Linked DNA regions of Styela clava. The protein of the gene in region 2 interacts with the protein of the main gene of each other region in a biochemical or structural test. Links are inferred from orthologs where the notes say so. Each region holds a gene or a part of one and is shown on either strand. Other genes may lie near its edges.

What was found. The genes of interacting proteins can lie anywhere in the genome.
Region 1: the proteins of ubiquitin-like modifier-activating enzyme 6 (region 2) and ubiquitin-conjugating enzyme E2 T-like form a complex in vitro, tested with the Homo sapiens proteins (2 studies listed by BioGRID, with this or other methods). The link is inferred for Styela clava from reciprocal best matches to the Homo sapiens genes UBA6 and UBE2T.
Region 3: the proteins of ubiquitin-like modifier-activating enzyme 6 (region 2) and ubiquitin-conjugating enzyme E2 G2-like form a complex in vitro, tested with the Homo sapiens proteins (2 studies listed by BioGRID, with this or other methods). The link is inferred for Styela clava from reciprocal best matches to the Homo sapiens genes UBA6 and UBE2G2.

Annotation. Positions count from the first base shown.
Region 1 is NC_135256.1:5,895,426-5,905,958, reverse strand, and holds the start of ubiquitin-conjugating enzyme E2 T-like, read right to left. Parts: upstream 3,909-10,533; 5' UTR 3,647-3,908; coding exon 3,538-3,646; intron 2,009-3,537; coding exon 1,833-2,008; intron 1,055-1,832; coding exon 956-1,054; intron 1-955. UniProt on the Homo sapiens protein: Accepts ubiquitin from the E1 complex and catalyzes its covalent attachment to other proteins. Catalyzes monoubiquitination. Involved in mitomycin-C (MMC)-induced DNA repair.
Region 2 is NC_135254.1:14,428,108-14,438,600, forward strand, and holds ubiquitin-like modifier-activating enzyme 6, read right to left. Parts: upstream 4,602-10,493; 5' UTR 4,552-4,601; coding exon 1,396-4,551; 3' UTR 396-1,395; downstream 1-395. Other genes in the region: DDB1- and CUL4-associated factor 17-like, read left to right, coding at 1-22. UniProt on the Homo sapiens protein: Activates ubiquitin by first adenylating its C-terminal glycine residue with ATP, and thereafter linking this residue to the side chain of a cysteine residue in E1, yielding a ubiquitin-E1 thioester and free AMP.
Region 3 is NC_135261.1:20,876,442-20,886,811, reverse strand, and holds the start of ubiquitin-conjugating enzyme E2 G2-like, read right to left. Parts: upstream 3,909-10,370; 5' UTR 3,685-3,908; coding exon 3,651-3,684; intron 2,694-3,650; coding exon 2,612-2,693; intron 1,806-2,611; coding exon 1,687-1,805; intron 837-1,686; coding exon 696-836; intron 320-695; coding exon 207-319; 3' UTR 1-206. UniProt on the Homo sapiens protein: Accepts ubiquitin from the E1 complex and catalyzes its covalent attachment to other proteins. In vitro catalyzes 'Lys-48'-linked polyubiquitination. Involved in endoplasmic reticulum-associated degradation (ERAD).

The sequences.
Region 1 (10,533 bases), on a different chromosome or scaffold from region 2:
CCCTACAGCCCCCTATGGGGAGGGAACTCCACCTAAAATTTCAAACACCTTCATAATTTTATGGTGTGACACCATGCTTCAATTCTTAACGAAAAAAATATTGTATCTGAATATTCAGAAAGTGGGTTATATGCTGATGCAGATGAATAGTCAAATACATAACACATTTTTATAAGTTAAAAACAGTTTTATCACTGAAAAAAAAAATTTATCTACCACTGCCCAAGTTTGAACCCTGTACTGTGGAATTTACCCCAATAGAGTAAAACTACTGTAATCAGTACCGTAGTTTATTTTTTCGCCATACTGAAAGCACACTAGATATACACATTACAATGAATTATGAAAAAACAGTTTTAGGGTTAGAGGAACTGCGGGAAACCAATATTAGTTATTGAGCTACGTCACCCCTAAATTTTACTGACATACGCAATCGCCATAGATTAGGCATTATGGTACAAATTTAATCTCCAAAGTGAATGCAACCCGTGATTATGTCTAACAATAATCAGGAGAAAAAAGTAAAACATTGTATCATCAGTCAGTATGTCTCATTTAATCCCTGACTCGGTACAATCCTTGCATGTGAAATTTATCAACAAGAAGTAAACGGTTGACAATCACTGACATAGGCAAAGGCCACAGAGGCCTTGGTATGGCATATGATCAAGCCATCTTGTCATATTTCCTCTTTCAAGCAAATTGATTGTTAAAATATGATTGAATAGTTGAATCTGATGTCATTTCAATATAACCATTTCTAAAATTTCACTTTCAAATTTTTTATTCTGCTTGCCATCATCATATTCAATCAAAAATTATCCAATGCATTACACTTCAATTTATATTTCAGCACGGTGATTTGTATATAATATACATAAATTTTTAAATATAGTTTCTTAGTAAGAATTAACAATACTGAACCTAATTCAAAATCTTTTTACATTAAACTTACTATGTCTGTCATCAGAGGATCATCAGGATTTGGTTCTGCCATCAATAATTGTATCGTTATTAGAAGAGATGAGATGTTGAGTGATGGCTTCCATGCACCCTGAAATTAAATTACAAGTTGAGAAAAAGAAAATTGAACTTACTACATCCCTGTGAAATTACCAATTTGCCATTTAAATATTGTGTTACATCAACTAGTAGAATATATCAATTTAGAACAGTGGTACTAGAATGATGGGGCGCGCACCACAAGCTTATTAGCTTATGAAACTTATTAAAAATAAAAAATTTGTTAGATTTGGATATTTACATTTCTTTATTGTTTGAAGATTGCGATTCCATACACATATTTCAACGTATATTTTGAATAAAACATACTTTCGCCTTACTATTTGTTATTTATAGCTCATTGTTAGCTAGTTATATTTGAGTAGGGCGCGAGACTTGACAAATTATTAAAAGCTAATCAATTAGATAGAGAAGGGTGAAATGAAGCAAAAAGGGTGACCATATAATAATTAGAAATAACTATATTACTTCTGATATCGAAAAAAAAATATGGTTGTGATATATTGATTGCCTCTCTTCATGACTTGTGTATATGGGAAAACAGAATATATTGTTTATTTGTTAAAATGTAGAGGAATTAAGTTAAGCACAAGTTAAAAATATTCACAATTCCAACAATCATAAGGCAATGCAACATTTTTCAGTATATATAGTAGCCTACCCATTTTTAAAACTGAAACCATAAATTTTAAACCTTTCCATCCAAATTTCCTGCCTTTCAAAAACACCTTACAAAATAGGTTATACACAATGTGGCATTGCTTATTTCTGTACTAAAAAGTTGGATGAGCATCCTCTGCATATATTACCTGTGGTGGCATTTTCAGTGAGTCAAGGCATATTCGTCCTCCATTATCAATGTTCGGATGATATATCGGAGTTTGAAAAATTACTTTTGGAGGTTCGAATGGATAACGATCGGTGACAGTGACTTGTAATTGAAATAATCCACCATAGTAAGGCGTCCCTTCACTCCCAATGATTTCTGAATATAAAATATCTCAATCAAATTTGATCATGTTACAACAATATTTCTACTTGATATGGTGTGTTATTTGATATAGTCTAGATCAGGGGTTCTCAACCTGGGGTTCACGAGAAGATTTTCAGGGGTACTTGGATGACAGTCGAGTTTTTGTATGTTGCTGTTTTTTAATATCCTTTATTACTACCATTGGAAAATGCGTGCCCATTGAAACTAGACGCCAATCGAAACGTACCGTAGATTTTCCCTGACCTTGCGTTGTTGTGATTGTGACGCAACAATGTGAAATTCAAGGCTTTGCGTACAAACTGTGAAATCTTTAAAGACAGCGTGCTGCGAGCATTGGAGAAGTGATTATGCCTATTGAAACTTAAAGAGAGATTTTAAGAATTCATTAGCTAGGCAGACGATAAGGGCAAAAATATCAACTAGACGATTTAATTTAGTTACATCTGGTCAATAAATTGGTGTTACAACAAATTGTTAGACAATATATCAGTATATCACAACTTTGTTCGGTTCCGATTGCTGGGGTTCGCGTTGATTGTTTCGTGACTCAAGGGGTACTTGAGCGAAAAAAGGTTGAGAACCCCTGGTCTAGATTAACAAATAAGTTACCATTCTAGCTAGAGATGCATGTTTTTTTTAATCATAGAGATGATGAGAGAGAAAAAAAAAGTTTATATTCATCCTCGTAAACGCAGAGCTTAATGAAAAGCGTAAGGTTGTGTACACAAAATGATACAGTAAGATATCTATATTGTCAATTCGAGGAGACTATAATCAGACGGTGGCTCATTCAGATGAAGTGTGGTATGGGAATAGCTAACTGCACAGTACTTGTGCCAGAATGTCTGAAAGCATGGCTTTGTCATTACCCAGTTTACTGGCTTCTTGATATTAGGCTTAACAAACAAAACCTTGATTAAAATTGTTCGCAGTAAAATGGTAAATGTACTGCGAGTACCGGTATAAGTTTAATAGACTACTTCTGTACGGGTCTCATGTAGTTTCTTACCTAACATACTTCTAGTGGGCGTAGCATGACAATTTTTTCACGTATCAATCCTAACCCCCACCTGACTACATCATCTAAAAATTACGTCATTACGACGTCACAGTGACGTAATAGAGCCCTTCAAACTACACGAACTGCCATCCAAGACGCGCAAACGAGCACCCGAAATCGAACAGTTATTTCTCTCGTTTTCTGGTCGCAACGATTCCAATAGGAGAGAGACCGACAACGTCAGTCAGTTCTTTGTCATCGGCGCCAATGCCATTTCGGTCGATCGTGCGCATATTTGGCAAGCTCTATGACGTGATTGTGATGTCGTAGTGATTTAATTTTTGGACGGCGTAATTAGATGGGGGTTAGGATTGACATATCAAAAAATTGTTATGCTACGCCCACTAGAAGTACGTTAGGTACGAAACTACATGAGACCCCTTCTGTACTTACTTATAAATAGACTGGGTTGAAGTAAAATAAAAAATTATATTAAAATATGAGATTAGACTTCACTCACGAGCATGCAACAGATCTTTATTTGTTTCATCCTGATTGCACGAAACTCCTGGTGGTGGACTTTGTTGCAACATCTCCAATTCCCTTTTTAATCTCGCTGCCTTCTGCATATTTCAAGTTTTGTGAAGAAAAATCTTCTTCTTTACCGCAAAATACGGTACGGTATCAGTGCCAAACGCTAGATTTCTCAAGCGAAATCAGCCTCCAAATTCACGAAAAAGTAACCAACCTCTATTGCTCAGGAACAATCCCAATCACCTACACAGGAAGAACAGCGAAATGCTTGGGGTCAAACCAAGATGACATGCCGCGATAAATTTGTTTACATTTACAAACAGGGCAGTCACGTGACTAATGTACATGCATGGCATTCAATTCAATTCGTTTATAACTCCGGAAGTCCACCCTCTGTGGTCCATATAAAAACAACACAACAAATAAACATAAGCAAAACAAAAATAACGCAATAAATACATAAAATACCTGATATGAAAATCAGATTCACAGTAAGTCTCAAAAAAGAGTTATAATACAGCAATTTAATGGATCAAAAGTGATAGGCCGCGAGCCGAGGCCATTTATCTTTCAGTTTCGTAGCGCACATAAGGTAACTACCTGAAAATGATTTTAAAATGTTCCCCAGTGGTCGAATGAATATCAGATGTACTACTACTGCTCGCTTTTGCGTTGAGTAGCCTTTCCATAGTTTTTTTCAGTTATTATTAGTTCAGTTATTCTAAGGAGGTGTTGAAAAGTATAAGTAAGATATCAAACACTTGTATATCCTTACCATAAATAGCAATTTTAGTTGAGTTAAATAGTTACGGTGTCGGTAGTCGTTGTTAAATAGGTACGGTGCGGTAACTCCAATGAAGGCTAGACCTAGAATAATATGTCACAAACAACGATATTTTCTGGCTTGCATGAAATGTTTATGATTAATTTAATGACTCTTCTTGACTATTCAGCAGACTTATACTACTATATAGGCCACAGCATATTTGGAAATAAAAATTAATGGCTGTTTCTGTAATGCACGGTTGTGTGAAAAAGAAGAAAATAATCAATTTTACTAATGTCGGTTGGTCTAAATCTAAATTCATAGAGGCGACAAGAACCTGGGAAGCAAGTGGAAAAAAAGTAGCATTGGAAACGATTGAGAGGTGAGAAATCAAGTTGTAGACAGACAGTTGATGTTTCAAAATATAGTCTATAGGCCATACTCTTACTGTCATAGGGCATTTCAGCAGTGATATATCAAAATTGAGTGTAGATATAGTCTAGTAATGGTATTCAAACACTGCTGGACTGTAGTAGGCTACATGCAATGAGCATATATACGCTCATTGGAGACATCGGATAAAATGCATTATGTATTCAAGGTATTAGTTAGTATTTAGTGGTATTTTTACACTCATGCTGTTCCAAATATGATTTCCTCCCTCATTTTAGATACTGTACTACAAAAGAAAACGGCAATGTTCCACCAATCCGACCTAACGCAGGCTCTAATCCCGGCTGCTATCAGTGCTATAAAATGGATTAAACAAGAAGTCTTGAAGCGTAAAGGTATATGAGAATCATAATAGTTGCAAACAGCTTAGATGGGCTATTCATATTGAAATACTTTAGCACTTTTCTGCAATTGGAATTGCCCATCAATCTCATGTTGGAGACTTCATTGAGGTTTTCAATTCATTTTTTTCTCAACTATGCAGGTCTTATGAGGTTAACGAGGCATTATTAAATAAAGCTGAGGAATTTGTTTGTTCACTGTATGAAGAGGATATGGAGAATGTAAATGATACCAGAGCACGTCTATTTAACACTGGCAAACATAAGGATTATACTCTCCACCCAACAATGATTTACTGAAGAAGCATGTGGCCCTCAAATCAGTTCTTGAGTTGGCAAACTGCAAGTGTAAGAAAAATAGTCAAAATAATTTATGCAAGTGTGCCAAAATCAACTTAAATTGCACAGATTTTTGTTTTTGTATTGACTGCAAAAATCACAGTACACTTATAGAGGAAAAGTCGATTTTCGAGATAGTGGATTTCGAAAACAATTCAGAAGAAAGTGAATTAGATATTGCAGTTGATTTAATGAGTATCATTTATTTTGGACATTTGTTAGTGTCGTAGTCCTGTTTCTAGAAATAATATTGCCTTTGTTCAAATACATAACCACATAAACTAAAAAAAGACTAATTGTAATATTTCTGTTCACCATGTTATGTACATTCATTTAATTTTCTTGACTTTTCCGGTAAATTTCTAGGTGAGAAATAACTGATTTATTTGTGTTTTCGTGCTCACGATGTTAATTTGTGACTTCATTCCCTAAAAATAAATACGTTTGATAGCTTCTATAAAATGGATGTAGCTTTTTATGCTGTTCTTGTTGTAAACTGCTTGCGGTTATTACATAAAATTTATTCGCTAATGTGAATCAGCGTTGTTGGTGTCGTTGCTTTCGAGGTCACTCGCGACTCCTGTCACACAATTAAAGTCTTTTTTGTTGTTGGTTACATCAATGACATTAAACAACATGATAGGCAACTCTGACGTCACTCCATAAGACTACATGCGAAAGATTGTATTTCATGATACGCTCCAATGCACATATTTCTCGTCGCCTTTCGCGACGGTTTTCCGCTTGCTTTTGCTACTCGGCGTCTTTTTTACGTGTAGTACCTGCCTTTTTGCGCCTGTAACGAAAGAAAATAATCTCTATATCTGAGAAGTTTTGCTCATTCGGAAAGCTGGAATGGCAGACAAGCTGTAAAGAGTAATTCTGAACATCATAGACGTTTTTTTTATCAGAGAATATTACAAACGCGATAGCGTAAAGATTTGTGTAAAACATTTTGCAGATAATGACAAAGTTCAAAGTTAGTAATTTTAATGTTTGCGCTTGAACATTGAAATTTCATTTAAAGAGGGTGTCATACAAAACAGCAAAACTGTTTTTACTTCTCTTAAAGGTGCTGTGATACAATTCCATAACACAAAGTTTGCACCTATCGAACTTGTTTTAGTAGGTGAATTTATTAGACATATTACATATTCAATTAATCGTAGGTAACATTACTGGTACACAATGCCTCGTAGATAGGTTTGTGTCTAAATTTAGGAATTTAGCTCATAGCCCGCTAATTAATATTATCTTCTATGCAGGAGATTGCAGGGCTGATTCAACTTGCAGCCTTACCAATCACCTGACGATGCTCATTTAGTTTGTCTCGAGCAAGTCTTCTTGAAAGACTTGTGTGAATGGAAACTACCTATATGTTTTGCCTTCCTCCGATTTTAGAAGACAAATTCAATCTGAGGAATTTTGCATATAATTCTCATTGATTGTTGGCTGTTTATAATTCCTATTAAATGTGAATTCTGATTATATCAAAGAGTTAAACATTTTTTACGTAATTTACGGGCACTTTTTTCTTTGTCAATACTCCAAGCTGAGGTAATAAGCAAGACAATACATTCATGTCATCTGCAAGCAAAATGTACACACTAATTAAAAGTTTGACACATTGAGATAATACATCATGACAGAAAATACAAAGATACAGTATGTATGACCATCACATGGTAATTAAAATTAAAAAAAATTAATAGAGGCTGTGGAGTATGAAAAGTTCAAGACAAAGAAAAGAACAAAAGTTCATAGCTCATGAACTCTCAATTCTGCCTCCATTGCTTTGTGAAGGCCAATATATTCCGAGTGGCTGAATTGGTTTACCTTTATGATAGCAACGGTTTTGTATTTAATATAGCGAGATTTTTTTTCAATTTAATTGAAGTGATATTATTTCCCAAAGCAATGCTTGAATCGTCTAGAATAGATCAGTGGTGTCAAACACATGGGTTTCGAGAGCCGCATTGCATGTTGGAAATTGTAAAAAGGACCGCAAACAGTTTTTGATAATGTATACTCGAGAGATATTTTTCAGATAGTTTTAGTTTGTGACATATATTGTGATGCAACTAATCAGTTGGATTAAGTTTTATTATTTTCTTTAATTTCAAATGCAATTACATATTATAATTTGCATTCCACTATTATTGCAAGTTACTGTATTTATTACAAAAAATCATAAAATTCCATGTACAACCATCAAAATCATTTTTGAACAAGCCTTGGTTAAGGAAAGAATAATATATACACTAAAAATGACTTAATCTAAATATATGAACCTAAAATTAACAAAAATACTACAGTATAAACTCAATGTTTTTTTAATTACATTTGTCCTGACGTTTGGCATCTTCTTTGTGTCACCAGCATACTAAGGCCAGGCTGAAATGATTTTATAGTACCAACTCTAATTAACGAGGTCACATGATCATGGGTTAATCTGTATCTTTGCAAAAGTTTAATTAATTCCAGTAATGCAAAAAAGTTACTTTTATCATTTCATGTATAGATCAGTAAAAAAACAAATGACAGATTTTTTCGACAAGACATTTCACGCTACATTGCATGGCATAGGATTGCTTGAATTATTATTGATATTGATTTTTAGTAACTAAGTCGTTGTATACTTATATTAATATACAAACACATGGAAATTTTCTGTTCGGAGTTGGTCTTCGAATTTGTCATATTGACTGCTGAGTGCTGAGCTTATTGTGTTTTTCATTGTACTGATGGAAATATGACAAATTAAACAATGTGCTTCAGAATTTTGTGAAATGCAGAAAATTTTCTTCGAAAATGCCACCTTCTTCGTGTACTTTAATTTAATCACTCAAGTGTTTTATTCAGTATTCTTTTGCTAGCTTGATGTGTATTCTTAATTGAGTCAAAATGTGAACAAAAAAAAATTAACTTTCTAAAACTACTTTCAGTAAATTGTTTTCTGTGTGAATATTCAATTTCACTTTAAAAGGTTTGGAAAATCTTTCACATTTAAATAAAAAAAATTCCAAAATACTATTACAATTATTGTTAAGCGTTCGAGGGCCGCACTGGAAGTTCTCTGGGGCCGCGAGTTTGACATCCCTGGTCTAGATTGAAGTTGTCCAAAATATATAACATTATTTTATCATGAATCATGATTATACCCTTTTCTGAATTTATTCTATAGTACTACCAAAATTTGATGAATCAAATATAACACAGGTGTAGACAGTGAACCGTAATCCTCATTTTTCAAAGCTGTTTTAAGTATGTCTGGCATATTTTGTGCCTTTTTACAAAAAAGACCGCTTATGCAATCTTACGCTTTGGAATTTTTAGTTATTTCCCTCAAGCCCTGCAGGATGTAGGGGCCATACACAACTTTACCGGCGGGTCAAATGTCTTTGCATTCCTCCATAGGTTGTTCTTCTATTGCAAACATTTATGGAGTATTCTAATCATATTTCTTGGAATCAAACTGTCACTGATATGTCGCCAGACTTCTGATATCTCCCCTTCAGCTACAGTTGTCCCGTGAATAAATAATAGGAAATTGAGGTTAGACGAATAGTTGAAAGTTTTGTTTTATGTCGGCCTAATTTCTTGATTGATATACTCACTATTATTGCTATTGCCTCTTGTGCTGCAGGAGTCTCACAATGCTTAGACAGGTCTGTCCACAGCTTTCACATCTGTAGGAGAGGAGATGTATTAATTTTCGTTAAGAATAAATAAAGCAGTCTATATGATTCAGAATGGAAAAGCTAATAAATCCAATATCTTATGTTTTTTGTAAAAAATGTTTTACTGAATTTGGTATATAAACCAACTAATAAAGGGGTTTAGTCAGAAAATTATAAGCATTCGTGGCTCCAAATACTTGAGAGATCAGACTATACAATATAGACCGGTATGAGTGAAATTTTAGGTGAACTTGTTAACCCGTTGATTCAATACGCAAATAAAAGTGAATGAGCAATAGTATGTTACAGCAATAAGTATATATCCTCACTGATTAAAAAAATCTAAATGGAGGTGCATGAACTATTTGAAACCATAAGGGGTAAGTAAATATGCAATTTCGGCAGATGGCCAACTAAGTACCGTACTGAATTAAAACTTCGTAGTATTTGACAAAAGCTGGCTTTCCCGCATGTACTTAACAGTGCGATGCCCGGGTGTGTTATACAACAATAGTATTTACCTTACTTTTTTCCGATTTATTTTTACCTTCAATTTTCCACATATCATTAAAAACCACAACAATTGTCGAAGCAGGCTCGAACACCATTCGTGCTATGCCTTGAAAGCAACACACATCCGCTCGTTTTCGTCTCGTCAAGTATGTGCATTGGAGCGTGCTATCGAATACGATCTTCGGCCAAAAATGCCGGAGTTGCGCATCATGTTGTTTAATGTCATTGGTTACATGTATGCCATATTTTTCGTAATCTACCTAATAAATTATGATTGACTGAGGAAGTCCGATTTTGGTCAGGCAAAACATTACAGGAATACATTTGTGTTAGTGTGCTGTAGGGCTCTCGAATTGCATACTTCTTATGTATGTGTTGTAAACTTATGGTTTTTGAATTTCCGGGAACCTCTTATATTCAATTTCGCATCAGGATTGTGGAACAAGCTGTAATGCGTCCAGTATGTTCATTTTCACACAAAACTGAAGAATTTATTTAGTTACCAAGTGCGCGCTACGAAACTTATTTTCTGGGCGTTTTCAAGGCTTCGTCTCACGGCCCATATCCGTGGTAAGGATCTACAAGTGTTTAATAACTTACTTATACATTTTTCAACAACGTCTTAGCATAACTTAACTAATAATAACAGCACAGGGCTATGGAAAGGCTGCCCAACTCAACGCAAGGTCGAGCAGTAATAACTAATATTTATTCGCTCGCTACCAGCTGATTCGATTCAATTGTTACGTCATGCAGAAGTCATTGTTCATTGCCGAAAATGTAGAGAATATAGGACAGATCGTAGCACATATTTCTTGTAGTAAAAGCGTCTTTTCCGTAAAACGTGCAACTTTTGGAAGTGGGAACAAGGCAATATTTGTTACTAAATT
Region 2 (10,493 bases):
GAGGTTTTGTCGGAAATATTGAATTATTTTTTATAATATTATGAATTCACTGTGATCATTTTTAATAAAACGGACGTATGAAGGCGTTGCTCCGTAATTATCTGGGCGACAATTGCTTCGTGGTATATTTGATGTTTCGGTTAGCGATTTGAATATGGACTCCAAAAGAGTTACCGTAATGGGGACTGGAAACGTTTAGGTGAATTTTAAATAAAGCGGTGTAGATTAGGACAAAAGTGACCCATTTTCTATTGGACCATGGGAGGAACGAACATAGCACGTTGATGAGAAGAATATCCTCTCTCCCCTGAGAAGATTATCCTAATAATAGTGAGTCAAGTCAACTATTCCAACAGACAATCCCACTGCAGATGACACTCATTTAAATATACATGTACATTCTCAGACTTGTGCAAACAATCATAAAATGCACATTATTTATTCAACAATTGTTCAACGCATAATTCACTTTTTGATAAATGCTGAATTGGACAAAAAATAATCAGCTGGTAATTGGAAAACGTGTCAAGTCGAAATAAAAATTCTTGAACTTGATATAAGCATACAAAAAAATAATTTTATAATCGTGACTTATAAACATGGATGATAAATGCAAATACATCTAATACGAGCCATGATAAACACAAGTACAGTGATCGATTTGCATGACAGCAAGTATAAATTAACACAAATAACTGCAATGAAGACACTGGACAGCAAGAACAATTATATGAATAACAGATTTATCATAGGATCTGCTAAAGTTCACCACACATTAATCCCAGGATGTGATGTCATCAAGCCAAATCCATATAGAGCTTGGCTGTTTATTTGAACTTGCATATGTTTCATTTCACAATAAGGTGGCTACTTATCCACAATCTTTCAGTAGCTAAGAGTTATTCAATCAACATTTGTATTATTGGGAATGATAATTTTTTCATATTGCATTCTCAAAAACCACTACAGTTGACCATACAAATATTGGACCAATTTGTATATATTCAAATGAGGCAAATCAATTTTGACCACCAATACATACACCAAAGGCAATCGGCAGTCTAATTTAAAATCATGGTTTTGATCCTTCTTTGAAGTCACTAATATCGATTATCAAATATTGTAAATCAGTATTTTTCTTTATGCAAAATTACATGGATTACCAAAACTTCTGTGTGTATGAAAAAACTATAAAGAAGTCAATTAAATCTTTTAAATATCACTGGTGTTTACAGTCTATAATATAACAATGACACTAATCGACGAGTATAATATTAAAACAATTATACTATTAAAAAACAACATTTGAAAATCATACGATATATATATAGTGCAGAATAGAATAGCTTGAATTGTGGGACACAAAAATTGCAATAACACTCAACAGAATGGAAATTAGAAATAGTATCTAATCGGTGGGCATGACAAATCATCTGAATCATCACTCGGATTTTCAAATGTTGCCGTCAGATCAACATACAGTGTATTTTTGTCTCCAATTTTAATGAGCTTTGTCATAAGGTGATCCAATCTTTTTGAATGACCAGGCATGATTGGTATATAAATCATTCTTGAGCCATGTACAACTGCTGAAATTGTGAGATTATATTTCTCATGAAAATGCTGTATGAAATCTTTTAGTTTGAAATCCTTGTTGCCACGAATCTCCCATCGATCCCAAACACTGAAGGAGAGATCTTTAGTTAATTTTGTTTTTTGAGCAGCAGCTGGTTCACTGAATAACACAAGCGGTAATGCAAGGTTTAAAAAGCAATTACGATATTTAGACAATTCTGTTTCAATATTTGAAGCACAATTTGACCAGTTCGTTCCATTTTTTTCATTATTAATGAGCTGTATTACCAATTGCAGAAACTGTATGGTCGCAAAACCTGAAACGGCAGTAGTGGTGGTAGATATAGCAGGTATGATTCGACCTGCTATTCGCTTTATTTCAAGACGATCCACATTTTCAATGCCATACATTTTAGCTCTTAGATTGGCAGCAGAAGAAATGAAATCAATATGGTGGTTCGAATCATCATCTTTTTCAAAATCTTCTGGGTATAACTTGAAAGTGAAATCACTACGTGTTTTAGCAGTAAGCATAAGCTTTTGACTTAAATCTTCGGGTGAATCTTCATCTGTCTTAGTTGGTGCTGGGGCTTTTTCATCAACTACAACTTCCTTTGTACTTGGTACCCAATCAGGCACCACTGTTTTTTCAATAGCATCGGCAATGCTCTTGGCAATCTCTTCTTGACTAATGGGACGTTGCACACGATATATAGCAGCAATTAATGATGCTGTACTAATGACGAACTGCATATGGAATGGGTCTTCGAGATTGAAGATAATCGGGGTAGGTGGACGTTTAGGTAATGACCAGAAAGGTGATCCATCCTGCAGCATAGTATCCAATGGAAAGGCTTTTAATAAATCTTTTGCTTTGTGATTAAACAACTTCTCAAACTTTCGTCTTGCATAAACGACACAATCAAACCAAGTTGTTGGTGCTTCAGATAGAAGTCTTAAGGTGACAGAGGCATCTCTTAAATTATTTCCTGACATTAAATACTTGTTGACCAATTCTATGATGTTATCTTTGTTTCCGTTTTCACGTACTTGACACCCTTCCCAAAAATTGTTGTACGTCATTGGTTTTTGTTTAAACATGACTTCAAATTTGTCTCTCGCCCATTGTATTGTATGCTGAATGTTTGAGGGGAATGATTTCAACGTACAAAAAGGAAATTCAACATCTGCTGGATCCTGCTGTGATCCATAACTTTCCGTTACAAAAGGGGTTATGATTTGCACATGACCTTTCGGTCCCATCGTCCCAGATTCCAATAAAGGACGTTGATTTGCAACACATCTTGTATCCATGTACCTTCTTGCTGCCACATTATCCAAAGCGTTGACTACGATATCCTGACTTTCAAAAAAAGCATCATTAAATACATTTTCTGAATCGGGTTGAACTTTGTATTGCAAAGGCTCAATTTTTATGTCAGGATTTATTTCCTTCACTGACAAAGAGGCTGCAGAGCTTTTGGATTGTCCTACATGGCGACTATGAAATAGAAATTGACGATTCAAGTTTGACTTTTCAATGACGTCATTGTCTGTAATCACAGCTTTCCCATTTTCAGTTGAAACTCCCAACAAAGCAAAGTTTTTTAACATTTCACAGCCAATTGCTCCACATCCAACCATAAATATGTTTAACTTCGCTAAACGTGCTTCCACTGTTTCACCCAAACATGCTTTCACATCACTTAAATCATCTGATTCCTGCATTTGTTCGGGTGTGAGATGAAGATTAAAAGCCAGCTCAGTTGCATCTAAATACAACCATTGCTTTAATGGGGTGTATTTACCAGTTAAAGCCTTCAAAACCTCTTGTGCTGCAATACCACCAATCGCAGTTGCGAGAGGCGATAATGCTCCTCTACAAGTAAAAGAAAGTAATTGAACAACTTTCTTGGCATTTTCATCATTTGGAATATCAATTTGAAACTGATTCACTGTATTGGTGAATAATGTAAACAATGCTTCAGCATCATTTTTGTTCCATAGCTTTGGTAAATTACCATTGGATTCTACAAATGAGTTAAGAGCTGAGAAAGCTGCATGGGAAATAGCAGGGTTATCCATCTTCCCAAAATCCGTCAACAATATGTCAGGCTTTAAGAGTTGTTCATCTAAAGATTGATGGGATATCGTAGATTTTTTAGTTTTTTCTTTTACCAAACCACCACCTTTGTACTGTGAATAATCACTTGTATCCCCAATTGTGAATTTATATGGTGACACGACCCGTACTTCTCGAGTTTGTCCATTTAGTTCCACCATTCCTTCAACTTCAGAAAAAGAAACACTGTCACCATCTTCCAATCCATGTAACTGATCCTCTAAGCACGTTACAGTGCCTTCACTGTTTCTAGTAATATCTCCCACAAACATTTCCTTCAAAGTTTCTCCTCTCGAATCAAGAATCTCGAAATTTTTCCCAAAGTTGCAGAACAATGATGAAAATACACCATAAACATTGCAACTTACAAATTTTAACTGACCCATCAAATTACAACTCAATTTATCGAGATACTTTTGATGAGGCAGACTACGTTGGGTTGCGATTATGCAATCAATATTTTCGAGAAATTTTGTAAACTCTTTGTGAGAATCAGCATCACCCAATGCAGCATTTTCAATATGAACATCCGAAGTTGAAACTTCGACTTGGACGTAAGGATTAAGTTCTGCAAGGCGTGGCACACAAGCTTCTGCTCTCGTTTTCTTATTTTGCAAATCCGACTGACTGACATAAAAATTGTTTCTGATATCCCGTTTTGTAACAAGTGAACTATCGGCCACATACAATTTCCCTATTCCAGTGAGAACCAAATTTTTTGCAACTTCTACGCCAAGACAATCACATCCTAATAAAAGTACATTTGCTGATGCCATTCTCTTCATTGCATTATCACCTAACATATAGCGTTGCCTGCTATATAACGAGTCATCAATTTCCATTTTGTCAGCCATAATTACCAAAAGGAGCTATTAAATACTGTAAAACAATTTTAATGAGCTTGAAGCATCTATTTTATTTCTTTAGTTAGGAAATTAGACTTGGTTCATTAAATGAATTTGGAAATCAATGATATCATGAAGAATAAATTTGAAAATCCACCCTTCAATTTTTTTTATATTATTTACGAAATGTTTTTAAGAACTAAAATTGCTTTGTTTGATCATGATATTCTATCACGAAAACTTGAATCAATAAGCTGTTAAACATCCATCCATAACATTTGAAATAAAAATTTATTCCAAGATCAGAAGATAGAATTTCTAACTAGGTATTCATATTAGTAAGAGTCAGAGAATAAAACGAGCAATAAGTTTCACAGTAAATTATGCAATGAATGGTTTTCAATGCATTTCCGTTTTCATTATTTGAGTAAACACAAATATTTAGATTTCAAATGTACAAAATATCAGTCAACAATAGTAAAAAATTATAAAAGCATTTTGGTATTTGTATCTACAGGTATATGTAATAACATATTAGGAAACCCACTTTTCAAATAGCAAAGAAATCATTCTTTCGATAAAACATATGGCGCTCCTGGTCATTTTGAATAAAAACAGTATTTCATTGTATTATGTGTTAATCTAATGCCCGATATCTGGATATAGTCAATATTTTTTATGTTTTACTTGTTTGTTGCTTATATTCCAGTATTTGTTTAATAACGATTGAAAAAATACAGAATATGTTATTTGTTTGATATTCTAAATCAGTTTATTAACATTTCAATATCGAGACTGCTACACTTGAATTTTTACCTTATTACTGTACTGTATTATGTATTGAGCCATACCAGCATACTGCCATAAAACTGATAAAGGTTAAAGACGCTCCGGATGCGCAGAAACTCAACTTAAACAGTTCTATTTTCCTTTCTTTCTTAAGTAGAAATTGTTTTAATTCAGTAATTTGTCTAATTCAGTAGTTAGACTCAGCTATATTTATGGCCTCTGCACCATGATAAAAAAAATACTAGATTACAAAGCATACGCTGAGATATTGAAAGTTACTGTACCGTACCTGTCTGCCTGTACAGTTCTGCCGTTGGCTGCGTAATTTATTTATTTGAAAGATTTGACTTTTCATTGTTTTCACACGGGGGTAAAATTCCTGTTCGATGAAAATATAGCCTACCAATCCAAGAAATCAAAGAAACAGTCGTCCAAAGTGACGTCGCCAGCAAAAGCGGAACAAGTCTATCTATCTATCAAGTCTGGTCGGGAGCATACGCTTTGGTAGGGAGTGGCCTATGGCATGGGTGGGCAATTACTTTCCAGAGTGGGCCGAATGCGGATAATAGACTTGGTTACTGGGCCGATATGATCGATGATGATATCGATATGATCAAAATCAATTAATGGGACTTCATTAAAGGGGTTGGCAAATTACGGCAGCTGCACAGAGAAAGTTGATAGAAAGAGATTCTCAACAGGTCGTGCGGAATACTTGCGAGATGTAATTCACCGGAATATAGTTTGCCGATTTTCACGTTTTAAATACCCACGTCATGCTGAAGAAAACAATGACCGATTTTAAATTTATTTTGCTCACCGAGTATGCGCAATCGCTCCTCCCTCCCCTATGGATTTTTTGCCCATTGTGTTATGCGTTTCGCGGCATTTAGGAAAACACGAAAAAATTTGCAGGCCCAAATGCTGATATATCGGGAGCTAGAGTTTCTGAATGACATAAATAATTTGGATCGATGGTTTTGTACATTATATTCAGTACTGATGATCCGTGAGGACTTACGTTATTTACTTTAGCCGACGATCCGTTATTTCATCGATATTTTAAACGGAAATTTATATCCATAAAAACAATATTCATAATTTCAGCAGGCACAAGTGGTCCGGATGAAACACTCCAGTAGGCCGGTTCCGGCCCGCGGGCCGTAATTTGCTCACCTCTAGCCTATGGTGTAATATAATATCAGCAGTGCACAAAAGTCCGAAACGACGGAAAAGGTTGATACTGAAATGAGGCAAAAAATTAAATGCCTGAAAATTGAGAGAGAGAAGGGAGGTTCATGCTTCTGCCTAGTTTTATCAACTGCCATTTGTTTAAAATGAAAATCTTTTTTGAACTCATCTGTCCTTCTACTTTTTGAAGCTGAAAATGACGCTAATTGTTCATTATTTCTTGCATCGCTTTGTTTATAAAAGCTGTAGAACAGTGGTTCTCAACCGGGGGCCGAAGGCCCTCAAAGGGGCCACGAAGCAGCTCAATTGGGGCCATGGCACAAGGATAAAAACTGATCATAACGCAACTTCGTTTGCATCCTCTCCTTTTAAAATAAAATTCTCCGTTCAGGCTTTCAACGCAGTTACATTGCCTAAATAGGTCATTTTGCGATCACAGGATGTGTTCACTTTCTTGTGCGTGAATTGTCTACTCTAATATAAATGGAATTTGGAATCTTCTAATCAAAATAGTCCGCCGGTAGCAGGGTTGCCATATTGGCTTTTTTAACCGCATTTTTGGCTTTTTTCAAACACGTTTGGCGTCTGAATTTCCGTTTGGCTTTTTTAAGTCTCTTGGAGTGTCTATTATTAAAATCATATGAAATACAATATTTAGTGTGTAACAATAGCCTATTGCTCAGCTACATAACATTTGGACTTCCCCGAGTATCGATCGAATTTATATACGCCACTACGGTATTGAAGGGAGTTCACTCATCCTCATATCATGGCGTCATATTTGAGTGGTCGTCATCAATGTGCTCAGAATGGCGAAATTGTCCCTGAAATGCGCTTCATCAAATGCGGAGTTCCAAAGGTTTCACAATTTAGGCCGCGAGCCGAGGCCCTGAAAAACGCCTAGAAAGTAAGTTTCGTAGCGCACATCAGGTATAACTACCTGGAAATGATTTTAAAATGTTCCTTAAAAATTTAGTAACAAATATTGCCTTGTTCCCACTTCCAAAAATTGCACGTTTTACGGAAAAGACGCTTTCACTACAAGAAATATGTGCTACGATCTGTCCTATATTCTCTACATTTTCGGCAATGAACAATGACTTCTGCATGACGTAACAATCGAATCGAATCAGCTGTTAGCGAGCGGGTGAATATTAGTTATTACTGCTCGACCTTGCGTTGGGTTGGGCAGCCTTTCCATAGCGCTGTTTAGTTTTTATTGGACACGTAGTGGACATAGCGATCGTTCCAATATTATTTTGTTGTTGTTCTTTGTGTCCTTGTTCTTTGACACGTTTTGAAGAAATCGCTTTTCTCTTCGAATACTGGACCAATGGTTTTGAAATTTTCAGTGGTTGAAGACAATAATTTTCTCCAGAAGGCTCTTACTTTTTTTTCATCGTCATCAAAATTATTCCCACTGGGTAGCGCTACGTGTCCATATATTTGAAAATAGCTCTCTTGTTAGTTAAGTTATGCTGAGACGTTGTTGAAAAATGTATAAGTAAGTTATTAAACACTTGTAGCTCCTTACCACGGATATGGGCCGTGAGACGAAGTCTTGAAAACGTCCAGAAATGAGTTTGTAGCGCACATCTGGTAAATAAATAAATTCTTCAGTTTTGTTTGAAAATGAACTTCAGCTTGTTCCCCAATCCTGATGCGAAATTGAATATTAGAGGTTCCCGGAAATTCAATAACCATAAGTTTACAACACATACATGAGAACCGACGACTAACGATAAGAACTTCCCCGTCATTGTCACAGCATTCTTTTGCAGACAAAATCAAACGCTGCGTTGTTTGCCCGCGGCGTAAAGAAGCACTCCAGGTGTCGTCGTATTTTATTGTTTCCCGGATACGAGATGAAATACACGACTGCACAGACGCTCCATCCATTAGCCTTGACTGCAATGCGCCGTATAATACATCCACGTGATAGAATATTGTGGAGAAAAAATGAAAACTCACCATCTTCTAGCAGACGCTTTAGACCTGCCGCCTCCCTCACAGAGCGTTCGTCCCAAACCGGAGAGCTCTGAATGCCATTGAAACACTCAATGAGCTCAGACCTAATTTCGGACACGCCCTGCACCACGCGTGATTGGAAGTTCTAACGTGTTGGTGCACAAGCTGGGAGACGGCGGCTACATATCTGGCGAAGGAGGTCAGAGCGCTTCGGCGAAACGGGAAAAAAATGAAAAAAACCCGAAACATTTGCAAAAAATATACGGACGAGAGGGGTATCAAGACACATATTTTTAATAACGAGGTTAAATTGGTGTGCATAACAATGTAAAAAATGCGCATGAGGAAAATCTTCTTTTATATAAACTTGAACACCATGTTTCGACCCACTCATGACTGCCGCGCCGTCTTAAGTTTGAGCAGTTGTCTCGTCAGACTGAATCGAAAGGAACTGGCAATTCTCAATTTCCAGAGCCAAATGTTGTAAATAAATTTTATACATTGAGTCGATCAAATCATTTTGGATATCCTCAGATGTTCCTTTCGAAACAGTTGCGGCATCAAGATGATCTCTCAATACTGTATCTAGGGATGCGGTGTTTTCCACCATATCCAAAAATACCCCTATTAGAAGAGCCAGCCCGTTCATCGTGCCCACGGAGGGACAGCTCGTGACAACAAATGAACTTCAAAACATCTATCAATCGACGGAGAACATGGCGGTTTTTCTCGACGTTTTGGTTGTGCCGACGAATAGAAACCGCGCGTCCTTCATCCAACTGTGCTGCAATATTAACATTTCCGAATGTTCGGTATTTTACTGCATTGTCCAGATGCTCCATAGAAGATTGATGATCCCTGGCACGCTCGGAAAGATGTTTAAGATCTCTAAAACCAAATTTACACCAACGTGAGTCACGGGCGGTAGCAAAAAGTAGGCAATAAAAACAAAAAAGTGCATTTTTGTCCTCGCTGTAACACAACCATTCGTGTTTTTTATACCAAGTTTCTGCGCAGAATGTACGCCGACGCGTTCCTCCGTCATGGGATTGTTCCAGTGAACAATTTTTTGGTTGATAAGGCCTAGGACGTTGTACCTCTAATTTTTGTTCCAGCGGCAGCTGCGAAAACGGAGTGCGAAGTAGTGCATCAACCTTATTCATTATGAGGTCTGAGGCTAAGAAATGCGAAGCCGGAAAGAAATGAGGAGCTCAAAAGGAATGTGGAAAATCGAAAGCAAATGGACTAAAGGTCTCTAACTGATTCAAATAGCGAAACAAGCGACAAAAACGAAGGCGAGGAAACTATCAACTCTTAAAGCAACCAACAAACGAGAAGGAATGCGTGAATATGTCAACACGTTGTTGTAAGAAACGTCGGCATTGTGTCGTCATAATTTCGGGGCTAGCCCCGATGATTTAGTAAAAGAAACAGAAAACAAACGAGACAAACGCGGCGAGTGGAAGATAAAAGAGAGAATACGATATACAATGAGCAACCGGGGCAAAATCGGCGTCGCCCCGTCGACGTTCGGCGAAGGCTTTGCGAGCGAAAAATGAACCATGTCGGGAGAATATGGCTAGTGTAGACAGTCTGTGCAACCGATATTGTGGTATTTTTAGGATAGGATAGGATTTACATATTTATCCCGGGGGAGAGGAAAGCCGATAAGACGGCTTATCCATATGGCGAACCACGGCCTCTCGTCCGGTTACCATTCCAAGTCGGGTATGGGATTAGATTTACTGTATTGTTTGTTTTCGGAAGCATGGACTTGGTGGTGGAGGAAGCCGTAACCGACCAGCGGTTACGTGAACCACCCAACGACGGCGAGGAGTCCAGCAATCCTCTCGCACATAACCATCCCTGCATGGGATTCGAACCTGCGAACCCACGCAGAGTAGTTAGAGGTGCGGTGGCGAGCGTATTCCTAACGCTTAGCCCGTTGAGCCATACCGCCGCGCGGAATCATTTTTCGAATATTTTTTATTATACCAAAAAAA
Region 3 (10,370 bases), on a different chromosome or scaffold from region 2:
AGTGCTCTGGCAACATCGCAATAAATAGAGTCAGAAGTTGATTATCATTAGCGCCGACTTGTAGCCTTTTGAAATGTGTAACAACAATCTTGAACTGGAACTGAATTCTTCTGTACATCTTTGTTATATCCACAATTCATCATGATCCATGAATAAGTATTGACAATGTTCAAAGATCAATATTGTACAAATGATAGGTTTTTTAATTAAAGACCCAAAGATTTCCTTACAAGGTTCTTCGCTTTTTTATTGAATAATTCTCTATTATCTCTCCACATTTTCGAAGCATCAACATTTGCGCCAGATTCAGGATTGGGTTCTGTGTGCCAATAAGATATATTTAAAACCGAGCATTTACCACTTGACAATTTTAAGAAATACGTGGTAGAATGTTATGAAACGAATGCAAGTTTTTATTAGCGCTACAGAACCATTGGAATAAGTTTAGTATAAAATTGCGCCTCTCTTTAATAATTTTTTAAGCTAAGGTATACAAGATTTTGTGCAGTTCACAGAAAATGCAGGTAAATAATTCCATATAAGCTGAAATACCAATGAGAAAAACAACAAACAAGCATGTTTAAAACTTAGGGCTCCATTTTATCCCCGATAGAGTTCTGATTAGAAATCTGTGTATGTGAATAGGATAGTTTACATGGAGATAGTGTTTTGAAAAATTGATTTGAACAACTCACCAGCAAGCATGCTTATTACAGAGAGCAAAATTTTTTCAACACTTTGAACAGGCGACCATCTTTCAGCACTTGATTCATATCCCATCGGGTCGTCACCAGGGGCGTGCAATATTGAAATGCAAACTCTTCCATCTGGATATACTGTTGGAATTGAAAAGATTAAGAAGATATTTCAGCTTCCAATTATTAACAAACAAATTATGACGTGATTTAAAAAAACTTCTAGTTTTGTACACGGCTGGATAGCTGGAATAAAATCACAGTTGCTCCGCTCTGCAGTTTTGTTTTTATAATCTCAGCCGGGCTTCGACTCCATACCTAATGAGGTTTTTAACCAGTGTGACCACTATCATGAAATATTTGCCACAATGCAGTTTCGTGGAAGCTGGACTCAAAACTATGATATACGGGTTTCAAAATCAAAGTGTTAAATATATAAATTGACAACTTGAAACTCTCAAATCAATATTGTACGTTGAAATTTATAACAATTCAAGAGCTGAAAAGGATAGTTTTTATTATTTGTATCAGAAAATTATGAACGTTCAAAATAATTAGATCGTTAGGAGCTGGTATCCACTAAATCCATTTCTGGTAGCTCCAGCTCCATCTAACATGTTAGCTTGGCTCCAGCCCGACCAAAATGTCAAAGCCCCAAGCTACAGGCTCCGAATCAAGCTCACAGCCCTAGTTCTATCACACAAAAAATTGATTTCATCATACAAAATAATTTTCAAAGGACCAAAATATGTATAGATGCAAAAGGACTACACCACTACACAATTACCAGATCCAGAGGTAACTAAGTTTTATGATCAATAGAATACCAACCATTCTCTGCTATATAACATTTGCATGTGTAGCCTTGCTGTAAAATTCATAGTGTTATGTTATTCATAATAAGGTAATCTGGATGTCTAAATTGAGAAAGTGAATTAAATATATATAAATTGCACTTAATGATTATTAAACTGATATATCAAAATCTTACTGTTTGGATGAAACATATCACATGTAAATCGCATTGTAGGAGGACTAAGAGGATAATCTGATGGAAAAGTCATCACAGCTGAAAAAACTCCACCTTCGAATGGTGTGCCTATTGGTCCCCTATAAAAAAAATAAAGCTTAGTCATACTCTGGTGGTATTATTTTAACTCGTAGCTGAAGTGTTAGCAATGAGTTGGTTTCATTGCATTGTTCTGCATTAGGAAAATTGTCAGACCGATTATGCCATGTTGCGCTTTTTCAAGAAGTGTACTCTAAGAAGAAGTCTTCCGGAGATATGGGCAGTCGCTTCCAAACATGGCAAAATCAGTCAAAAACCAAAAATGAAGGGCTCAAAGAATAAATACAGAAAGTTATGTTGCATTTCTATTTATGGCGAAGTTGGCTAAACAAAAAATTGTTGGACTGAATACAATTTTTTGAACATTTAAATTGGGATTACAAGTTCAGTCAAATTCAAATTGGCAATAAATATATACAACTTTCATTTTGGTTTGTCCATTTAGGAATCTAAGATAAATTCATATCAAGTGATTTAGTGAAGTCGAAATTTTCAATTTATATAGAATGTATTTGTTTTCACATGATGTATGATTTGAGATCATGGCATAAATGGAGATTTCTAATGAGATATTCAACCAATTTAGAGAATTAAGTTATCAGAAAATCTAAGAATAAATAACAAGAGTAATTTTGAGTATATTAGTTTCTGTATGTTCATAAAAAAACATACTTTGACTTCGAGAAATACTTAAGCTGAACCTATGTTTTAAAACTATGGGTTAAAGTTTCAATAACTTTCTCTTAGTTGGGATGTTCCTGCTACAAGAATAAAAGTATTTTGAAGCATAGTATTTTATACGCTAACCAAAGTACTGAACAGACTGAATATAAAAATGTATACGTACATTATACAAGCATCCCATTCAAAATAGTTGCTTTCTTCCTTTGGCCCAGCAACAATTCCTTCCGGTGCTTGTGTCGCCAACTCTAAAAATGTATATATGCATACATGAAAGTATAAACTTTCAAATATATTTCAAAGCAAGAATGTATAAGTAAGTATATTTTGATTTCCCCGCCAAAAAAAATCATACACAAAACACAAACAATGAACACACAGAAGATCGGGAAAATCGGGGAAACTGGCAAAACCTTTATAAAGGTTCAATACATGTAAATATACATGCGCCAGTTTACTCACATTCAACACACAAACATATATGCAAAATAAAAATGATAAGACACGAATGGGTATCGTTCGGGTTTCAAACATAACATAAACACTCGGTGGGTCCCAATTAATAAATACACTTTGATAAATACACTTTGATAGGATGGAATGCAAGGCTATGGTATGTGTATCACAACAGTGCTTTTCCTACAAAAATATGGAATATACAACACTCGTTGACGTAAAATGGTGATGCTGTAGTTCAATTCCATTGCAAAAATAACACAGTGACAAAAAATTGTTACTGAAAAAAAATTAGCTCTGTAAATAGATTGCATGTTTCATAACACTGTAACAGTCTATGCACAAACATGGATCGGGATATCGGTTTTTTTTGTCGTATAATGCTGTAATGTCAGAATCTGCACAATTTCAACAAATGGACCGGTTCCGGGTACCGGTATGGCCGTACGTATTTACTGGCACCGCAATGCAGTTCAAAATAAAAAATCATTCAATATTCATCTATTGAATTTCACCAATTTTGTCACTATAGGTACAGTGATTTAACATCTAACTTAATGGAAACTGGGATGATATTACTATAATAATGCAAAGTTGACGCCTCTCCAAGCCATGTACTCAGGTTGAGAAGCATATGCGGCAGTACATACAGTACCGTATTTGTGCAATAACGTACCAGTACCGATATGGTACCGGTACCGTACCGCTACCGGTACTAAATATGAGATTGGAGTTACTTCAAAACTTACGTTTGTATTCAGCCATAAGTCGTTTTGCTGCCATCTTGAAATTTTAGTGTGACCCTTATCTTCGAAAAAATATCTTGTTCAGAACACTAAATAATTAAAACTTGAGTAGTCTACGAGTATCCTATCCCAACTCACTGAAACTGCAATCGATAGATCTGTAGATCAAGAAATAAAGGCGTAGCACGCGTACCAGTATCGGTACTGAAGTGACGGAGTGGAGGTGCAGGCACTGTATAAATTTGACGGGAAGCTATACGACGCGGTGCCTAAAATGTGACACCTCAGTGACACCAATGACATATAACAACATGATGCGCAACTCCGGCATTTTTGTCCGAAGATCGTATTCGATAGCACGCTCCAATGCACATACTTGTCGAGACGAAAACGAGCGGATGTGTGCTGCTTTCAAGGCGTAGCACGAATGGTGTTCGTGCCTGCTTTGACAGTTGTTGTCGATTTTAATGATATTTTTGAAAGTAAGGTAAAAAGAAATCGGTAAAAGGTAAGGTGAATACTATTGTTGTATATCACACCCGGGCATCGCACTGTTAAGTACATGTGGGAAAGCCAGCCTTTGTCAAATACTACGAAGTTATTAATTCAGTACGGTACGTAGTTGCCCATTTGCCGAAATTACATATTTACTTACTCCTTATGGTTTCAAATAGTTCATGCACCTCCAGTTAGATTTTTTTAATCAGTGAGGATATATACTCATTGTTGATTGCTGCTCATTGTAACATACTATTACGCATTCACTTTTATTTGCGTATTGAATCAAAGTGTTAACAAGTTCACCTAACATTTCACTCATACCGGTCTATATTGTATAGTCTGATTTCTCAAGTATTTGGAGCCACGAATGCTTGTAATTTTCTGACTAAACCCTTTTATTAGTTGGTTTATTTTCCAAAATTCAGTAAAATATTTTTTAAATAAAACATGAGATATTGGATTTATTAGCTTTTCCATTCTGAATCATATAGACTGCTTTATTTATTCTTAACAAAAATTAATAAATCTCCTCTCTTTCTTCAGATGTGAAAGTTGTGGACAAACCTGTCTAAGCATTGTGAGACTCTTGCAGCACAAGAGGCAATAGCAGAAATAGTAAGTATATCAATCAAGAAATTAAGCCGACATAAAGCAAAACTTTCAACTATTCGTCTAATCTCAATTTCCTATTATTTATTCACAGGACAACTATAGCAGACGGGGAGATATCAGAAGTCTGGCGACATATCAGTGACAGTGTGATTCCAAGAAATATAATGCAATTGAAAATTGCAATAGAAAAACAACCTATGGAGGCATCCAAAGACATTTGACCCTCCGGTAGAGTTGTGTATGGCCCCCACATCCTGCAGGGCTTGAGGAAAATAACTAAAAATTCCAAAGCGTAAGATTGCATAAGCGGTCTTATTTGTAAAAAGGCACAAAACACGCCAGACATACTTAAAACAGCTTTGGAAATGAGGATTACGGGTACCTCACTGCACCTGTGTTATATTTGGTTCATCAACTTTTGGTAGTACTATAGAAGAAATTCCGGAAGGGGTATAATCATCATTCATGATAAAATACTATCATATATTTTTTGAACAACTTCAATCTAGACCAGGGATCTCAAACTCGCGGCCCCAGAGAACTTCCAGTGCGGCCCTCGAACGCTTAACAATAATTGTAATAGTATTTTGGAAGTTTTTTTTTTATCTAAATGTAATAGATTTTTCAAACCTTCTAAAGTGAAATTGATTATTCACACAGAAAACAATTTACTGAAAGTAGTTTTGGAATATTAATTTTTTTTGTCCACATTTTGACCCAATTAAGAATACACATCAAGCTAGCAAAAGAATACTTGAATAAAACACTTGAGTAATTAAATTAAACGCAAAGTACACGAAGAAGGTGGCATTTTCGAAGAAAATGGGAGTTGTAACATTTCTGCTCTTCACAAAATTCTGAAGCACATTGTTTAATTTGTCATATTTCCATCAATACAATCAAAAAACACAATAAGCTCAGCAGTCAATATGACAAATTCGAAGACCAACTTCGAACAGAAAATTTCCATGTGTTTGTATATTAATATAATTATACAACGACTTAGTTACTAAAAATCAATATCAATAATAATTCAAGCAATCCTATGCCACGCAAGGTAGTGCGAAATGTCTTGTCGAAAAAATCTGTCATTTGTTTTTTTACTGATCTATACATGAAATGATAAAAGTAACTTTTTTGCATTACTGGAATTAATTAAACATTCGTAAAGAACCAGATAAACCCATGATCATGTGGCCTCGTTAGTTAGAGTTGGTACTATAAAATCATTTCAGACTGGCCTTAGTATGCTGGTGACACAAAAAAGATGCCAAACGCCAGGACGAATGTAATTATTAAAACATTGAGTTTATACTGTAGTATTTTTGTTAATTTTAGGTTCATATATTTAGATTAAGTTATTTTTAGTGTATGTATTATTCTTTACTTATTCAAAGCTTGTTCAAAAATGATTTTGATGGTTGTACATAGAATTTTACAATTTTTTATAATAAATACTGTAACTTGCAAATGTTGCAATAATAGTGGAATGCAAATATTAATATGTAATTGCATTTGAAATTGAAGAAAATAATAAAACTTAATCCAACTGTTTAGTTGCATCACAATATATGAGCTATGTTCTATGAACATTTGTTCTTTTCTTTGTCTTGAACTTTCCATACTCCACAGCCCCTATTAATTTTTTTTAATTTTAATTACCATGTGATGGTCATACATATCTTTAACTTGTATTTTCTGTCATGATGTATTATCTCAATGTGCCAAACTATTAATTTGTGTGCATATTTTGCTTCCAGATGACATAAATGTATTGTCATGTTTATTACCTCAGCTTGGAGTATTGACAAGAAAAAGGTGCCAGTAAATTAGGTAAAAAAATTTTCAACTCATTGTTATAATCAGAATTCACAATCAATAGGAATTATAAACAGCCAACAATCAGTGAGAATTATATGCGAAATCCCTCAGAATAAATTTGTCTAAAATCGGAGGAAGGCAAAAAATATAGGTAGTTTCCATTCACACAAGCATTTCAAGAAGACTTGCTCGAGCCAAACTAAATGAGCATCGTCAGGTGATCGGTAAGGCTGCAAGTTGAATTCAGCCCTGCAACCTCCTGCATAGAAGATAATATTAATTAGTGGGCTATGAGCTAAATTCCTAAATTTAAACAAACCTATCTAAGATGCATTATGTACCAGCAATGTTACCTACGATTAACTGAATATGTAATATGTCTAATAAATTCACCTACAAAAGCAAGTTCGATAGGTGCAAACTTTGTGTTATGGAATTGTATCGCAGCACAGTTTTGTATGACACCCTCTTTAAATGAAATTTCAATGATTAAGCGCAAACATTAAAATTACTAACTTTGAACTTTGTCATTATCTGCAAAATGTTCCACACAAATCTTTCCGCTATCGCGTTTGTAATCTTCTCTGATAAAAAAAAAAAGTCTATGATGTCCAGAATTGCTCTTTACAGCTTGCCTGTTATTCCAGCTTTCCAAGTAAGCAAAACTTCTTAGATATAGAGATTATTTTGTTTCGTTACAGGCGCAAAAAGGCAGGTACTACACGTAAAAAAGACGCCGAGTAGCAAAAGCGAGCGGAAAACGGACGCGAAAGGCGACGAGAAATATGTGCATTGGAGCGTATCATGAAATACAATGTTTTGCCTGTAGTCTTATGGAGTGACGTCAGAGTTGCCTATCATGTTGTTTAATGTCATTGGTGACACTGACAGAAGAGGGGTAGGAAACAGTTCGAATGGGGCTCAGTGCGCAATTTGGGATGAGTCACGGACTAGAGATATTGCATAACCATAATGACATAACAACATGTTGTCAGGTAGCACTTTAAATGCGGATTATGGCATCACTAGATTTTTTTTTTTGATGAATTTAGGATAGGATTTACATATTTATCCCGTGGCAGAGGAAAGCCGATAAGACGGCTTAATCATATGGCAAACCACGGCCTCTCGTCCGGTTACCAGTCCAGGTCCGGTATGGGATTAGTTAGCCAGTTATTTGTTTTCGGAAGCATGAACTTGATGGTGGAGGAAGCCGTAAACGACCAGCGGTTACGTGAACCACCCTACGGCGGCGAGGAGTCCAGCAATCCTCTCGCGCATGATCATCCCCGCATGGAATTCGAACCTGCGATCTCCGGAAGGGTAGCCTAATCAGAGATGCGGTGGCGAGCGTATTCCTAACGCTTAGCACGATGCGTCATTCCGCCGAGCCGGATAGAGGTTGGTAGCTGAAACGTCTCGTTGCGAGCAATCCCGACTGTGCGTAAGGCGCTGCTCATTTCTCTCTCGAGTCCATTCATATTTTTTATTTAAACATTTCTCCTTTGACTTACTCTCTCTATTGGATTTACTTTCCTGAATTTCCGTCTGAATGTATTAAAATCTAGTTAAAGCGTAAATATATACACCTACCTGACTTGAAGTTTGATGACATTAGAGAAAATCTCGATGGATTCGTAGGGAATCAAAGTAGTAGAAACTCCACTTACAAATTGGTTCGTCCTGGAAGTAGTTTCGTGATCAAAATAATTCGTAAGTAGGAATGCATAATACCCTATAGATGCCTCAATTCGTTCGCCCCCTCCCCCCCCCCCCCCCACCCATCAAAAAAATCGGAAATCATATTTGTATAAAATATAAATAAATGTTAAAACCTCTAACAAATACATGTTATAATAGATTAATGCATAATAAATTGAAAAGGCACACATGGAAAAAAGAAAGAACGACCAAAATAACGACTAAAAACTACGAACGGTAGCGTTGGCCGCCTAGGCTGGGCAAAGCGAAGATCGTGGTGAGTGGGAGGACGACAATCGCAGAAGGCGGCAAGCGGCTGATAGCTGAGGGGAAATGTGTTGTGCAAAAATGAATACACACACTAAATTCAAAAAAAAAAAAAAAATTCCCTGAATTTCGCTAGCAACTGAAAATGAGTGAGTCGCAATGTAGGGGAGATGTGGGACCTGCGATGCAAGGGGACCGATGCAACAACGCCATTTCTCGACACCTAGTGGTCGAATTCTAATTTCAATTCCGCCATGGCATCGAGGTTGAGTCGTCTGCCGCGTTTTCCAGTTGTAGTGTCGGTAGCCTTTTTCGTTCTTGAGTAACGGTGGTAAATGTGTTTTTAGATAGCGAAAAAAATCCCGGGCAAGCGTTCAACCAATATTTTTAGATACTTACAACAAGACTGAGAGGGTAACAGTAAATAGGTTTTAGAGGTCGATGTTTTACCTACATTTTCCGGTTGTATTGGTAAGCAAATGCTGTGTTAGTTTTACCACAGAAAAAAATGGCGGGTTTGGGACCAGTGAGACAGCATGCGACGGGACCTATAAAACGCTGTCTCATTGGTCCTCCCCAACAAATTATATCTTTCAGCAGCAATATAACTGCAAAATGCCCACTTTTAAAATTAGTAAAGGTTTGAAAGGAAAGTACACGAGAGAAGTTCTAAGCGAAGCCGTTAAAAAAGTTATTGCCAATGAGGGCAGTGTGAGAAAAATTGCCAGAGAATACAACCTTTACCATACGACTCTTGGTAGATATGTAGATGTGGCAAGACGTCAAGGTTGCACAGATATTTTAAAAAGGTCCATGGTTACAAAACAGGTGTGTAAATTTTGTAGAAAGATGGATGTGAGTTGTATTTATGTATGAGAGGATTTAGTACAATTGTTTGAACTCATTTCAGGTTTTTACGAAAGATGAAGAGGAAGCTTTAGCAGAATATCTGATTCAATCAGCCAAAATGCTGCATGGTTTAACAAAATTTGAGGCTAAGCGAATGGCATATGCGTATGCGTTGAAGAAAGGAAAAAATATTCCTAGCAGTTGGAGCAGGAACGGTTGTGCAGGTGAGGATTGGCTTAAAGGATTTCGGAAGAGAACAGGGAACTTGAGCCTTCGCCAGCCAGAGCCAACAAGCAAGGCTAGAGCAATGGCTTTCAACAAGCACAACGTTGGAAATTTTTTCGATAACTTAAAAGAATTGTACATGAAACAAGGACCGATTTTACCACAAAATATTTGGAATCTGGACGAAACAGGCATTAACACTGTAGTTAAAACCACGCAAGTTCTCGCAGAAAAAGGAAAAAAACAGGTCGGACGCATAACATCAGTGGAACGCGGCGTCACTGTCACAATGTGCGCATGCGTGAACGCCATAGGAAACGCATTGCCACCGTCATTTGTCTTTCCTCGCGTCCATTCCCATGACAGAATGCTTAGAGATGCCCCACCTGGGAGTCTTGGTCTTGCTTGCCGGTCAGGGTGGATGACAACAGAAATTTTCCCAGAGGTTCTCGCACATTTCATTCGGTTGATGAAAGTTTCGAAGTCGAATCCCGCAATTCTTCTAATGGATAATCATACCAGCCACATATCGCTGGAAGTTATTGATATGTCACGCAGTCATGGATTGCATATTCTCACGTTTCCACCGCACTGCAGCCACAAGCTTCAACCTCTGGACGTTAGCGTATTTGGTCCTTTTAAAAGAGAATACGCATCTCAATGTGATTCCTGGTTAACTATTCATCCAGAAAAAGTGATCACTATATACGAAGTTGCTGCATACGCCGGCGCCGCCTTCACCCGTTC